Drosophila melanogaster: one gene and its partner. Changing the gene in region 1 together with any one later gene gives a genetic interaction. Each region holds a gene or a part of one and is shown on either strand. Other genes may lie near its edges.

The links. A genetic interaction does not mean that the proteins touch.
Region 2: of ZnT63C (region 1) and ry, changing one suppresses a phenotype caused by changing the other (phenotypic suppression), as found in Drosophila melanogaster (one study listed by BioGRID).

What each region holds. Positions count from the first base shown.
Region 1 is NT_037436.4:3,301,026-3,307,782, reverse strand, and holds the start of ZnT63C (zinc transporter 63C), read right to left. Parts: upstream 4,076-6,757; 5' UTR 3,931-4,075; exon of another isoform or gene 3,510-3,930; intron 3,182-3,509; 5' UTR 3,118-3,181; intron 1-3,117.
Region 2 is NT_033777.3:13,030,626-13,039,553, forward strand, and holds ry (rosy), read left to right. Parts: upstream 1-1,902; 5' UTR 1,903-2,140; coding exon 2,141-2,182; intron 2,183-2,992; coding exon 2,993-5,593; intron 5,594-5,874; coding exon 5,875-7,188; intron 7,189-7,253; coding exon 7,254-7,304; 3' UTR 7,305-7,395; downstream 7,396-8,928. Other genes in the region: l(3)87Df (lethal (3) 87Df), read left to right, coding at 357-386, 457-644, 710-824; CG11668 (uncharacterized protein), read left to right, coding at 7,788-7,849, 7,902-8,152, 8,202-8,374, 8,516-8,658, 8,750-8,928.

The DNA of each region.
Region 1 (6,757 bases):
ACGGACAGGTTCCCAAAGCCGAATACCACCAGACTGTGGACAAGCCATTGATGAAATATCGGAGTCTCTTTCGCGGCTGTTGGCTGACCAAATATTTGGCCATCTACGGCGGCGGCGTGTGTTGCCACAGGCCATCAAGAAAACGTTTAAAACTTAAAACGTGGCTTGTACGTTTGTTTTAAAGCACTTGGTTGAAAACCTAATGATATGGTGAAGTTTGTGGAGTTCTACTACAGTAGTAGTTTATATATTTTATTTCTAATCCTCACTCAGATTATTGAGATGTTTTTCATAACTAGGTGTCATGAAAAACGGACATAATATCAAGTAATTTATAACACATACTTAGAGCTTGCTGTCTCGTCGTCAATTTCATTTAACGACAATCATTGTTTTTAGCTACCTTAAGTAAGTCTCTTTTAATGCAATTGAAATTAAACGTAACCCGACATTAAGGCCTTGCATTTTGGCCTTGGCTCCGTGAGTACGTGCTGTGCTCTACAACAACATTAAACTTCGATATACAAACAGGGATATCTGGAATGTTTACTTTAAATTTCCGGCTTGGCTTTGCTCAAGGACTTGTGGGTGGAAAGGGGGGTGGAATATATCATACTATATGCACATATAGTTAGATATAGTCCTATGTGAGGCGCACGTGACATGCGTGGCCTACGCAATTAATTCAAACCATTTAACATGCAGCTCGCAGTTGACTGATTCAAAGTACGAGTTGGTTGGATCTGAGCATCCAAATGTGAGTGCGGTGGCATGTAAAACATATTCACTCTCGGCGGGCGAAACTGGGCTACAAATATTCTAGGTCAGGTGCTTTAATTGGCCTCTCCAGCTCCAGTTGCACTGAACGGGTATTCTCCGCCCAATTGCCCCCGGACAACTGGGACTCGGATTCGGTGGTGTTTATGTGGGTTACTAAGCCAGTTTGGCTATGGTTGCTTTGAAACAAAGACGGCTGGGCGGCCAGCATAGTTTAATTTGGCCCAGCGATAAGAACAAATTCGGGTGATAAGCGCAAATCGATCGCTTATGCACAGAATGTTGTACAAAGTACTCGAAAGTGGGCATTTCGATAAGCCAAATTAGACGCACTGTTGATTTATTGATCGGCAATTTGTAGAAAGATTTATTAAGCAGGAATTAAAGTAATTTTAAGATTGGGTAAATCTTTTTGCTACGTAAGTGTGAAGTGCAGCACTGAAAACAATTTTAGCATTCTTATAGATTTTGCGATGTGAACGCTTTTGAATTTTATTATGTGAGTATTCCCATTTAATAGGTGCGTTTCACTCACATAAAGTTACGACATTTAAAACCAAAATGGCAATCAATTAATTATATTAATGGCAAAAATTGCAGTTGACCCACAAACGAAAAGAGTCATTTGTTCTCCACGGCGACAACGTGGCGACGATTAACCCGGTTCTTTTTCCCGACCTCCGGGAACGGAAGGCGGACGGAGGTGCTCTGGAAAAAGGGCGGCGCAGAGAAAGGCAAAGTAAGAGACGGAGCTGGGCGTTGGGTGGTCCAACCTGGTTGAGTTCCACGAGAACGGAGAACAGAGTGAAAAATATACAAAAGAATTTCATCAGGCTGGCAGAAAGGTGAATACTATATATGCATTTGCAAACATTGCATGGATGTGTCAGCTAAAAATATATCCACCTGAATTTCTCCAATTTGCATGAAGTGGCGTCGATAAACAAATAACAAAATCAAATTTCAATGGATACGGTACGGTGGATGCGGGAAACCCTTTTTCCTGCATAGCAAGTGAAAACCGTGTCAAGGTCACATGTACATGATTCTACTCTTGGAAAGCCAGCAGCTCAGGCAACTTTGAGATTAGAATATGGTATCGTTGGAGAAGCAGAATGTAGTAGTTATCTGGACCTAGGTTAACCTACTTTAGTTGCAGTCGTAAATCAAAGCCAGCTTGCATGGTGGTCGGAGCAAACATAACCCACTTTTGGCCCCATTTTCGGCTGCATTTCAGTTTTGGGCGGTAGTCAATGTGCTTACCCACAAATCAAATTGGCCAGTATCAAATATTAAATGCTGCTGCTCAAATATTCACCACTGAAACTGAACCAAATCAACTGAATAAATATGGTACATATTCGTATAGCTAAACAAATCAGAGCAGCGACGACGAGCTGTTCTGTGTGCTTTAATTTGTTTGCCACAAAATTATATTAGCACATATTGATTTTCCCCTCCTCCTCGATCTCACTCAATTTTCGCTGATGACTGACTGGGAGCCGAGAACAAAAAGAGTTGGAAAGTCACTTGGGTGAGTGCCTGACCTTTAAATCGAATTATTTCAGCCACACCGAGCAGGCATTTAAAGTGATTTAATTAGGCCCGGAATACAAGAGTTTTATGCAACAGTGAAAATCGCTGCAACATACAATATCTCAGAACCGATACAGAAAGAAAATCGAACATAATTTGCAAGACTTAATGAGGAAAAATAAACCTATATGGGAAGATTTAGAATCTATAAAATCTGAAAGATATTACGCTTTAACAAATAAAAACCTGCTATTTAATAGCTGTACTGCCTATTTGTTTTTCAAAAGTAATTTAAATAAAATAATTCAAACATAGCAAATTAGCCTTCATATTTATTTGGCTTGATAAGGAAAAAGATCGGGATTTCCACGCCAGAATTTAAACAACTGCTGTGAGTCAGAAAGAATTTCATATCAAATAACCAGCGAGAACCGATGATTAAGTCAAAACAACCGGTTTTCGAGGATGGGAAATCGCGGGAAGGGGCCATAAATCAAGTATAACAAGTCCTAGACGAAAGGAACTCAAAAGCAAGCGCAGATTAAGATCGATTGTTGAAATGCAGATATGCTCAGCTACTACCTGACCACGCCCACACCCGCCCAGTTCGGTGACCCACGTGCAACAATAACAGACATGCTGATGCAGGTCTCCTGCAGGCAAATCCCCTACGTAAGATAATGGATATCATTTCCGAGATTATGTTTAACTAAGAAAAGAGATATAACACTCTTACAATCTATTTTTTGAAGTTTCATTAAAAATTGATAATGAGGCTAAGAATAATAGGTGTATTTAACTTACCTTAGCTTTAAGTCTGGAAATCGGTTCTTTGGTTGTTAAGGTTCCTAAGCTCCAATTGAAGAGGCTAAATTCAAAATACACATAATTGAAAATTAATAAAAAACCAAATCCAGTGTATACGGAGAGTATAGGACTTTAATAATTATTTGACTGAATATATGTATACTTTATAAAACTTTCGCTGCACTGTTGATAAAAATAAAACACGATATCTTTACTATTTTCGCAATTAAAACAGGGAAAACGCTTAAAAATGTTTACAAATGTATAAGTCACTTTGGTTTGACGATTTAGATAAGTTGATAAGTTGACTTTTTATCAACCATACAAATGCAAATTAAGATTCTTTGTATTTCCCCTGTTTGTGGCTAGCCGATATTCACTGTATTAACAAGGACGCAAGTGGGAGCGGGGAGAGCGGTGCACGGGCAGTGTTGCTGTTGTTTTGCGATAAAAAGAGTGGAGAAAGAAAAGAAAATAACTTCCAATTTTCGCCGTTGTTGGCTTTGTTGCTGCAAGAGCAAAGTGTCGACTGAAAAGTTGGCAAAATAAAATAGTGAAAATAGCATGGGCATCTTGGATTTTGCAGAAATTCCTTTGCTTCTCCTTTTTCCGCCTCAATTGGGGGTGGCACGCATACATACAAACAGAGTGTGTACATACATACACGTATGTATGCAAGTTAATTGTGCACAGTCACAATGGTCGAAAGAGAAGAAAGGGTGCGGGTCGGGAAAATCGAGAACGATTCACAATTGCACGTGCACTGGTCGCGATTTCCGTATATCGCCTCACTACTCCGCCGTAAATTACCGATTGGGCTGCCTGCCTTCTTGGTTGCTTTTTGCCGCACTTGGAGCGGAGCGAACAGCACAGACACAGATGTACAGCGCGGGTCCACGAATTTTTAATAAATAATTATTTTCCCGACTCAGTGTGACTGCAGCCACAGTCATCGAAAATCCATCCGGGCAGTTGGAAAATACCAATAATATATCGATAATATTTGTGCAGCTCTATCGGGTTAACAATAATGACTATCGACCGTTACAAGCGGTCTTTCAAAAATAAGTTTGAAAACTAGTAAATGTAGTAGAAACCAAAATAGGAGCCAGTAATGTAATTGAAATAAAAAACTGGCAGGCTTTTGATACATTTTGTCACTTTTAATACGAAATATTTTTGTGAAGGGCTACTTTACAATAAATCTATTTTTTTAGGCGTTACATTTCAATATAATGTAGCTTAAACTCTTTGTTTAACGCAAAACTACCAACAACTGCGTTTAACCCCTTTTAACCAACAAAAAGCTCGATGGCACTCAAGCTCAAAGTTGGTTTGTGTATTGGATGGGAAAGGTAAATGACTTACTAGTGATGTCGTGCCTTTATAAGGAAATTATCTAAAAAATAAAATATTTTGGCAAAAAAAAAGAATATATATATTTTCAGGGCAAAAGTGAGTTGTTAGTAGAAACATCCAACTTTAAAATCTTTTTTGAAGATAATATTCATGGCTAAAGCGGCATCACTGACCACGATCATTGGGGATTTCGTTAGTAGCGCGTTTACCGGCCGAGGAAACAGGTGTACAAAGAAACAAAGCCATCATAAAATCGGTAATTCCAAAGTGACTACCCCCATAATCAATTCAGAAATCAGCGGAATTATATTGAGCACGTTTCAGCATTTAGTTTAACTCAAGACTTATTTCCATTTTTCGTCAAAAAGTCAATAAGACTTTTACCTATTTTACCTTTGCTGAATTCCCCGTGTGCGTGAAGTAGTGAGTGATAAGATTAGGCGAATGGGTAAATGTTCCCTACGTGATAACAGGCAATTGGAACTTGAAGAGAAAATAAAGTGAATAAAGTGTAAATAAAAGAAACCAAATTTAGTAAATTAGTCACTGTGAATGGAAGGGAGTTAGTACGAGCTCCACATACGCAAATCTATATGTGCGACAAATGACAGTCATCGGCAGTGCCCGTAAACAAATTATGATAAAAAAGATAAATCTATTATACGAACAGAGGAGATATGCTCATATGAGCAGCTTCCGGCTTTCGTACCGCTTAAACTGAAATGTCCAGTGGAAAATTATCTAAATTGGACTGCGAGTGCTACCGAACCTGTCTCTGATATTGTTATTGTTATGGTTGTTGGCATAATGATAGTGGCAATGATATGTAGGCATATTGTATGGGGAGAAAATATGTAAAACACATATAGTATATAGTATGCCGTACAGAATAAATTGCCATTTTCGAACAACTTCTAAAATGTAAAATTCGTTAATAACCCTAAAGTAAACAACGATAAGGAGAGTACAAAGGTGAGCGTAAGGCTGAGATTTATATGGCCATAGATTGGACTAGCGTGGCAAACGTTGTAATGTGGCTAAAACAGCGGGCTTCAAATTTGGTAATATATCAAAATTCGATAGCTGTGAACGTGATCTTCCTGAAAATCTGGATCAGGCAACTTGTAAATGGCGTTAGAACAAAAGATCAGATGAGCACACAATTAGTCGTGGGTTTTGTGTCTACAACACAGGCCATTGTCACTAGTTATCCGCTTGGGTCATTGGCATTAAAATGGTAGTCAAAGTAGAACAAAAAGCTAAAAAAAAGTATTGGCTGTTGCACAGAAAGCTTCCCCTCTCGCTCGCAAATGACGTCACACAGGTGAAATGCATTGCACTGAATTTATTTCCATTCGTTTCAGTTTTGGTTTTAATTCGGTTTTCTCTCGTCGGTCATTAATTGGCAGACATGCAACTATTGCAGCATGGCCATTGTAATATATACACATGTACACATATGTACATATATCCGGTATAATGCTCCTATATTCATTGGGCAATTGGAGTGGTCAGCGGGCTGCGTGAGGAAATATTAATAATACATTTCTAATAAATAGTGTGCAGCATGGAAAAGTGCGTGTGGAAAAAGTGATTTAAAAAGTTGGTGATCGAATACCCTGCTTGAGTGGCGTTGACTGGGTTATCAATTGCAACATACTCGTTTTACCTCATAATTATTTTATGATTAGATTTAAAATGCTTTACTACTTGCGGGAATTTCCGCTGATCCACTTAAAAAAAATTGTTGCCGTTAGGAGTGCTAAAAATCACAATGTAACTCAGTCATCCTTTTGAAAGATAAGATAAAGACAATAATATAACGCATTCATCCTTTTAAGAAACGATAAGATAAGACATCTATTTAAAAGACTCATTAAGCATTTGATATTTCTTTTCACTACTTATTTCTCTCAGTGCCGGGCTGTCGCTTCTAATATCAGTTGTTTGCGCTTAGGCAGCGATACCGCGTGAGAGAAAAAAGTTATCTGAGCACTGCTTTTGTTTAGCCCATTTGTTTTGCCTGCGCTCTTTTCTGTTTACCTGCGCTCGAGTGGGAGGGAGGGGAGGGGAGGGGGACCAGGTGGCATTGGGAGCGAGTGAGAGGGAGTGGAGCTACCTGGGGGCACAACTTGCGACACCTTTTGCCGCCGATCGCTAGTTCAGTAGCAATCCGTAGCCGGCGACAGCAACAACAAGCCCAAACAGAACCATTAGTCGACCCGACCGATATTCAGCGGAATATAACATATATAGGTTCAAAAAGCGCACACAAAGT
Region 2 (8,928 bases), on another chromosome or scaffold:
CAGTGTTGCCTAATGCTTAAAATGCAATTATAAGAGCGACTCTAGTGCAAGAAACGAGTAATCGATTCTGGTTCGATAGGCAACGACTTCGATAAGGCGCAAATTAAACTAGTTGTAAAGGTTTTACGCTATATGTTGTATGCAAGAAAATCAACATAATTTAGCTATAAATATAGGCTACACTTATTTTTAATTATAAGTCCAAATTTCTTAGTGCATAGGAGTGGAATAACTAATTTTATATCAGTTTTTGGAATGCCCCTAACATGTCCGTGGTATTATTATTTAGTAACGTCAGGGTCACACTTTTGTTTTGTTTTGCTTTGCAACTTGACTTTTAAAATTGCAATTGCAGCATGGCCGAAGAACCCGAGGAACCCGCCAAGGTATGGATTACATAAATCTATTGGACATCAGGTGCCTGATTAAGCTTTAACTATGTTTAATCTCCCATAGAGCTTCGTTATCTTCGGACGCGATGTGGCGCAGATCCCGTGCTTTCGTAACAGTTTTCTCTACGGAATCAGCGGAGGAATCGGCATCGGCTTGCTGACTTTTCTGGGCACCTCGCGAACCCACCTGTCCACCCACGTGGGCTTCGGCTCCTTCTTCTGCGGCACCATCGCCTACTGGATGACCTGCAGGTAAGTGACTGTGATTAAAACCGTGCGGCGCCCTTATCACTTAATTATCAATGTGGCATCCGCAGGTATCAATGGTCCGTCAGGAGATTCGAGCAGCAGCAATTGCGTGAGGCGATGAGACGACAAGCCCTTTATGAGGGCACCCAAAGGGAGAGAGACTTAGATCTGAAGTCGGCGTAGCATAAGTCAGATCCTTCATTACTACTTCGATGTTTGTTTTCACTCTAGGATACCAAGTAATCCTGGCATTGTTAAATCCCTTGTGTTGTAAACTACCTTTTGTTACCAAACTTTATAGTAGCCAATATATTATATATATGTTGTAAGTGAAATCTTAGCTTGCCACTCGTAGGGAATTAATTATGCCACCATCTTTGATTTGGGATTGACAGAAATCAATCCATCATTTTAATGATTGTGGTTCCTAAAACCTGTTGGGCTTTATTGTGCTTTCGATTTGATTTAAGCTGATAGAGCTAGTTGTTTACTTTTGAAGAACCTTGAACCCATTTTGACGACCTTTTAACTTTTTAATAGTTTTTTTTTACCATTTACATAAAAGCAAAATTTACAGTCTAAAAGTTGTATATTCAATACGTTCTGGTACGTAAAAGGGTTATTTAATGCACCATTTTTACAACTTTAGATAGTATACTTTTTACTTGAGTGGGAGCCATATCACAAAAATGAAATGAAAGGTTAAAAAAGTATCTAAAAGTAAGTTTCAATTAATATTCTGAAAAATAATTGCATTTCATGTACGTTTCTCTGAAATACCCCTAATTCGATACTATTTATAAATCTGGAAGATATATAGCTAGGAAATAGATTTATATATTTGCCTAGTTTGAACACCTTGTGAACATTTTGTTTAAAAAAAAAGCGTATCGTGGTACTAGAAAACTTTAAGATACAGATAAATAACTTCACTATACCGAGGTTTTGGTGTTTCTTGAGACTGAAGGACAATCTTCAAAATGGTCTTAATTCTTGAGATAGAAAAGCTGCAGTTCTCATGCTGAATAGTGATCAGTACGATTTTATCTGACAGATTGCTTTCCTAGCTGACCACACCGATCTCGGATGGGTATCTGCTCTAATCCGAGATAGCAGGTAGTAGAACTGCTGCCTCGTAACCCCTAGACATGGCCATTTCCACGCACATGTAGGCGATCCTGCACTCGTCGGTCGCTCGTCTTATCTCACAAAAATAAAAGTCGGCGTTTGGATGGATTGCTCGGCTGGCTGTTGGCACATTCATTACGTTTTCGTTGACGGCGCGAGACGGTTGTGTTGTTTTTTAATCGGCGGGCACATGAGGTTGTCGGTTCTCTAATTTTGAAATAAAAAACTTGTTTTCGCTTTACATTCAAGGAACGCACCTCCTCCCCTCCATATATGTAAACGAGCTTCGTAATTGCAGGCTAACACTTATATAGGCATTGGTACTGAGATACAGCGAGATACCGTGAGCTACAGATACATAGCACTTCACGATGTCTAACTCGGTTTTGGTGTTTTTCGTGAATGGAAAGAAGGTACTTAAAGATACTCGGATGCCTTGCGTGTCTTTCCTTAAAGTCGGCCCACTCCTACTATATCGATTCCCTTTATTGTTTTATTGCCCTAATTGCGTTTAACTGGCATTCGATGGAATTTGCCTTCTTGCTCAATTGAATGTGTCGAATGTATATAGTATTTGCTGTGCATATAGTGATAACAATTGACCCCCATGTGAAGCCTCGTTGTTTGCTGGTGGCCCCTTATCGCCCGATCAAGATGGTGCACTTGCCAATCGCGCATGGGAGCAGTGCTACTCGGATGTGGGTGAGCTGGGATCGTCATGGGCATTTGTGTCTGCCAGATAGCCAGGCCCTCTAATCCGCACATTCCCACCGGCTGTGCGGTGTTTACAATCCAGTGAGCTCGGCTGGATTATTCAGATAAAGCTGGCCATATTTAGCATCTGGTGTTGGTGGAGTGCAGTTGGAGTTCTTTACTTTGTGCTCACAGCTTGCGCACAAGTGAAGTAAATAATAATAAATAACCAGTTGCTCGTGCGCCCGGCATTTGATAGTGATAGATAGCAATCTCTGTTTGCTCAGGGCTGGCAGAGCAGATAACACTTTCGCTGTTTTAAGTTTAAACAAAGTCACAGTTTTGACAAACAATTGCTTTAAACCATATAAACTTATAATTATAGCAATTATAATTAAGTAGGTACAGATCTTAAAGCTACAAGATACAAGATACAAATTTTCCCATTAATGGATAAATGGCATTAGATACTTTTGGGAAATTGATTTCGTTTTTTTCATTTTATTATATTTATACATTTCTTATTCCAGGTGACCGAAGTGTCGCCTGATCCGGAGTGCACGCTCCTCACATTCCTGCGCGAAAAGCTGCGGCTGTGCGGAACGAAGTTGGGATGTGCGGAAGGCGGATGCGGCGCCTGCACCGTGATGGTGTCCCGCCTAGACCGTCGGGCCAACAAGATACGTCACCTGGCGGTCAACGCCTGCCTGACGCCAGTGTGCTCGATGCACGGATGTGCGGTGACCACTGTGGAGGGTATAGGGAGCACCAAAACGCGTCTGCATCCGGTGCAGGAGCGACTGGCCAAGGCGCACGGATCCCAGTGCGGCTTCTGCACGCCGGGCATTGTGATGTCCATGTACGCACTTCTGCGGAACGCGGAGCAACCCTCTATGCGAGACTTGGAGGTGGCATTCCAAGGTAACCTGTGCCGCTGCACCGGCTATCGACCCATTCTCGAGGGCTACAAGACGTTCACCAAGGAGTTTGCCTGCGGAATGGGCGAGAAGTGCTGCAAAGTTAGTGGGAAAGGATGCGGAACCGATGCGGAGACCGATGACAAGCTCTTCGAGCGCAGCGAATTCCAGCCCTTGGATCCCAGCCAGGAACCCATCTTCCCACCGGAACTTCAGCTGAGTGACGCCTTCGATTCTCAGAGTTTGATCTTTAGTTCGGATAGGGTGACCTGGTATCGTCCCACCAATCTGGAGGAGCTGCTTCAGCTGAAGGCCAAACATCCGGCTGCCAAGCTGGTCGTGGGCAATACGGAAGTGGGCGTTGAGGTTAAGTTCAAGCACTTCCTCTACCCGCACCTCATTAATCCCACCCAGGTGAAGGAGCTGCTGGAGATCAAAGAGAACCAGGATGGCATTTACTTCGGTGCGGCTGTCAGTTTGATGGAGATCGATGCGCTTCTGCGGCAGAGAATCGAGCAGCTGCCGGAATCGGAGACCAGATTGTTCCAGTGCACCGTGGATATGCTTCACTACTTTGCCGGCAAGCAGATCCGCAACGTCGCCTGTTTGGGTGGAAACATCATGACCGGTAGTCCCATTTCCGATATGAATCCTGTGCTCTCGGCAGCAGGAGCTCAACTGGAGGTGGCCAGTTTTGTGGATGGAAAGCTCCAAAAGAGATCAGTTCACATGGGAACTGGGTTCTTCACTGGCTATCGCAGGAATGTTATCGAAGCCCACGAGGTGCTGCTGGGCATCCACTTTCGGAAGACCACTCCGGACCAGTATATCGTTGCTTTTAAGCAGGCCAGGAGAAGGGATGATGACATAGCCATCGTAAATGCCGCAATAAACGTTCGCTTTGAGGAAAAATCCAACATTGTGGCGGAGATCTCGATGGCTTTTGGTGGAATGGCACCAACCACAGTGCTCGCTCCTCGAACTTCCCAACTGATGGTTGGGCAGGAGTGGAGCCACCAGCTCGTGGAGCGCGTGGCGGAGAGCTTGTGCACGGAGCTGCCTTTGGCTGCCTCCGCTCCGGGTGGCATGATCGCCTATCGTCGAGCTCTGGTGGTGAGCCTGTTCTTCAAGGCCTATCTGGCCATTTCCCTGAAGCTGAGCAAGTCAGGGATCACATCTTCCGATGCTCTGCCATCGGAGGAGCGAAGTGGTGCCGAGACATTCCACACACCAGTACTCAAAAGTGCCCAGCTCTTCGAGCGCGTCTGCAGCGATCAACCCATCTGTGATCCCATTGGGAGACCAAAAGTTCATGCGGCTGCTTTGAAACAGGCCACTGGTGAAGCTATCTACACAGATGACATTCCCCGCATGGATGGTGAAGTTTATCTGGCCTTTGTCCTTAGTACCAAGCCACGTGCCAAGATCACCAAGCTGGATGCCAGTGAAGCTCTGGCCCTGGACGGAGTGCATCAGTTCTTTTGCTACAAGGACTTAACGGAGCACGAGAACGAAGTGGGACCCGTCTTTCATGATGAGCACGTCTTTGCTGCTGGAGAAGTGCATTGCTATGGTCAGATAGTGGGCGCCATAGCTGCCGATAATAAGGCGTTGGCCCAAAGAGCCGCTCGGCTAGTGAAAGTGGAGTACGAGGAGCTGAGCCCGGTTATCGTGACCATAGAGCAGGCCATCGAGCACAAGTCCTATTTCCCGGACTACCCTCGATTCGTGACCAAGGGCAATGTGGAGGAGGCTTTAGCCCAGGCGGATCACACTTTCGAGGGCACCTGTCGAATGGGCGGACAGGAGCACTTCTATCTGGAGACCCATGCTGCATTGGCGGTACCTCGTGACAGCGATGAGCTGGAACTCTTTTGCTCCACGCAGCATCCCTCGGAGGTGCAGAAGCTAGTGGCCCATGTAACCGCACTTCCTGCCCACCGTGTCGTCTGTCGTGCCAAGCGTTTGGGAGGCGGTTTCGGCGGCAAGGAGTCCAGAGGCATCTCCGTGGCCCTACCCGTTGCCCTGGCCGCCTATCGAATGGGTCGTCCTGTGCGCTGTATGTTGGATCGCGATGAGGACATGCTTATCACCGGCACCAGGCATCCCTTCCTCTTCAAATACAAAGTGGGCTTCACCAAGGAGGGTCTGATCACTGCCTGCGACATTGAGTGCTACAACAATGCCGGTTGGTCCATGGATCTGTCATTTTCGGTAAGAGTGGTGGGTTTATGGAAAATCCATATGTAGGTTTCTTTATGCATACCATGTTTGCTCAAATATCCATGTGTTGTATTTTCCATTGAACATCTGGTTAGTGTGGGAATTTCTAGGACCCCTATATGTTATCATCCTGAGTGCAAATAGTTTGAAACTTTTAAGAATGTTTAGGTCTAATCAGGAAAGCAAGCACCAGGATTATATTGACATAAACAATTATAAATAATAATCTAAAAATTCTTAAAAATGATCTAATATATAAATCCTATGTTTAGGTTCTTGAGCGCGCCATGTTCCACTTTGAGAATTGCTACAGGATTCCCAACGTTCGCGTGGGTGGATGGGTCTGCAAGACGAACCTGCCCTCGAATACGGCCTTCCGTGGATTTGGAGGACCACAAGGCATGTACGCCGGTGAGCATATCATCCGGGATGTGGCCCGGATAGTGGGTCGCGATGTGGTGGATGTGATGCGGCTGAACTTCTACAAGACTGGAGACTACACACACTACCACCAGCAGCTGGAGCACTTCCCCATCGAGCGGTGTCTGGAGGATTGCTTGAAGCAGTCGAGATACGACGAGAAGCGGCAGGAGATTGCTCGATTCAATCGGGAGAATCGCTGGCGGAAACGCGGCATGGCGGTGGTGCCTACCAAGTATGGAATCGCATTTGGAGTGATGCACTTGAACCAAGCGGGATCGCTGATCAACATCTATGGTGATGGATCCGTGTTGCTTTCGCACGGAGGAGTTGAGATCGGACAAGGTCTGAATACCAAGATGATTCAGTGCGCCGCCAGGGCTCTGGGGATTCCTTCGGAACTGATTCACATTTCGGAAACGGCCACGGATAAAGTACCCAACACTTCACCCACGGCGGCGAGTGTGGGATCCGATTTGAACGGAATGGCCGTACTGGATGCGTGTGAAAAGTTGAACAAAAGACTGGCGCCCATCAAGGAGGCATTGCCTGGAGGCACCTGGAAGGAGTGGATCAACAAGGCGTATTTCGATCGGGTCAGCCTCTCGGCCACAGGATTCTATGCCATGCCCGGGATTGGATATCACCCGGAAACGAATCCCAATGCCCGCACCTATAGCTACTACACGAATGGCGTGGGAGTCACTGTGGTAGAGATCGATTGCCTGACTGGCGACCATCAGGTGCTCAGCACAGACATCGTAATGGACATCGGTTCCAGCCTGAATCCGGCTATTGACATTGGTCAGATCGAGGGAGCATTCATGCAGGGCTATGGACTGTTCACTTTGGAGGAACTCATGTACTCACCACAAGGCATGCTTTACTCCAGAGGTCCGGGCATGTATAAGCTGCCAGGATTTGCCGACATTCCCGGGGAGTTCAATGTCAGCCTACTGACCGGTGCCCCCAATCCACGGGCAGTCTACTCTTCCAAGGCAGTGGGTGAACCTCCGCTCTTCATTGGATCATCTGCATTCTTTGCCATTAAGGAGGCCATTGCAGCTGCTCGCGAGGATCAGGGCTTGAGTGGTGACTTCCCACTGGAGGCGCCTTCCACATCGGCACGCATTCGAATTGCTTGTCAGGATAAGTTCACGGAACTGGTAAGTTACCCTTGGATTAGTTTATAACATTAAACTAACTTTTATTATTAATTTATTAATTATAGCTTGAAATACCCGAACCAGGATCATTTACGCCATGGAACATTGTGCCTTAAAATTGTTTTTATTGTTTGTACTGCTTAAGCATTTAAAATGACGATTTTATTTGTTAATTTGTTTATATATACATAGTGAATTAAATGTTTTAAAAATAATTGAGTCGTTTAATGTGTAAACTAAGCTGGAGAGCTGTTTGAACAAATTTATATACCACTGATTAATATTAAATATTCCTTTTAGATTAAGAAAAATTCAATGGTTACTTTTTTGTTCTATCTATTATTCAATAGAATCTCGTGGCATGCAATGCATTCTGATTTTCAATTGAAAAGTCTTAGTCACTATTTATTTTGAGTATATTAATGAAAGTTGAGCAAGTTTTCCGATGAATTGAAATATGAGTTCCGATTTCGGCGCGACTGCTAACCGAAAATATAAGCTCAATCAAAAGAAGCTTTGTATGGAACTCAGGTTATGAGACGAGATCTTCGCGAGCATCTCAGTCGGCAATCTGACGTCGTAGAGCTCGGACATCCGAGATGGGAAAGCTATCATTTGGATACAGATTGATTTTAGAGTTCGTCTTAATTTCGACGTTAGCGTTCGTATCGGCAGAACAATTGTTGCTATCACTACAACCATTATTACAATAGATATGCACAGAATGCGCCTTGGAACGCAGTGGCTCCATCGTATCTATCGATTGACATATACGGAAATTGCCAAGCCCACGATCGTCCGCTGATTGGTAAGTGTGTGCGGTACGTGGATTGCATTAGTGCCATGCAGGCAGTGCCCCGGGTGACACCACTACTCTGTCCGTCATCGTGGCCCAATCAGTTGGTTTGCTGTCCACACGGCGGATACTTGTTGCCGCCGCCCAGCATCTCGAAGAGCGAACAAGGTGCGTATGAAAGGAATTCAGAGAATCCAGAACTTATATCTTTTGCCAGCCTGTGCCAATGCCTATCCAAGAGCTCATCACAAGCGCCGTCGACGCCGTCGGAATACGAACCCTAAACTGGATCAAGTGGAACTAGTTGAGCCAATTATACAAAAGCACAATCAGAGCCAGAATTTACTGGTGGGCGGCAGACTCACCCAGGAGAACGAGCATCCGTATATGGTGAGTTTTAAGCAATTAGGAAAACAGTCCAAAATCTAACCTTATGAAACTTATTTGCCTTTGAAACAGTAAAAAATTAGCAATCTGATATTGTAAGCCATTTGGTAGATTAATAAAGATTTACATTCGATTCAATTACAGTGCGCCCTCGGTTGGCCGTCCCGCACAAACAGATGGATTCATGAGCACGGTTCCAGCAAGCGCAGATACACGTTCAACTGTGGCTGCGCCATGATTGCGCCTCGGTTCGCCATAACGGCAGCACACTGTGCCAGCGTCGGTGGGTAAGCAAAAAAAAATAAATAAAAATGAAAAACAAAACCAAAGAAAACACTCGAAATGCTAATGGGTTAAAAATATCTTGAATTCGAGCAGGGAATCCCCGTCAGTGGCGTTGATTGGTGGCGTTGAGCTGAACAGCGGTCGCGGGCAATTGATTGAGATCAAGCGAATTAGCCAGCATCCGCACTTCGATGCGGAGACCCTTACCAATGACCTGGCGGTGGTCAAGTTGGCCAGAAGATCACACATGCCAGTGGCCTGCCTGTGGAACC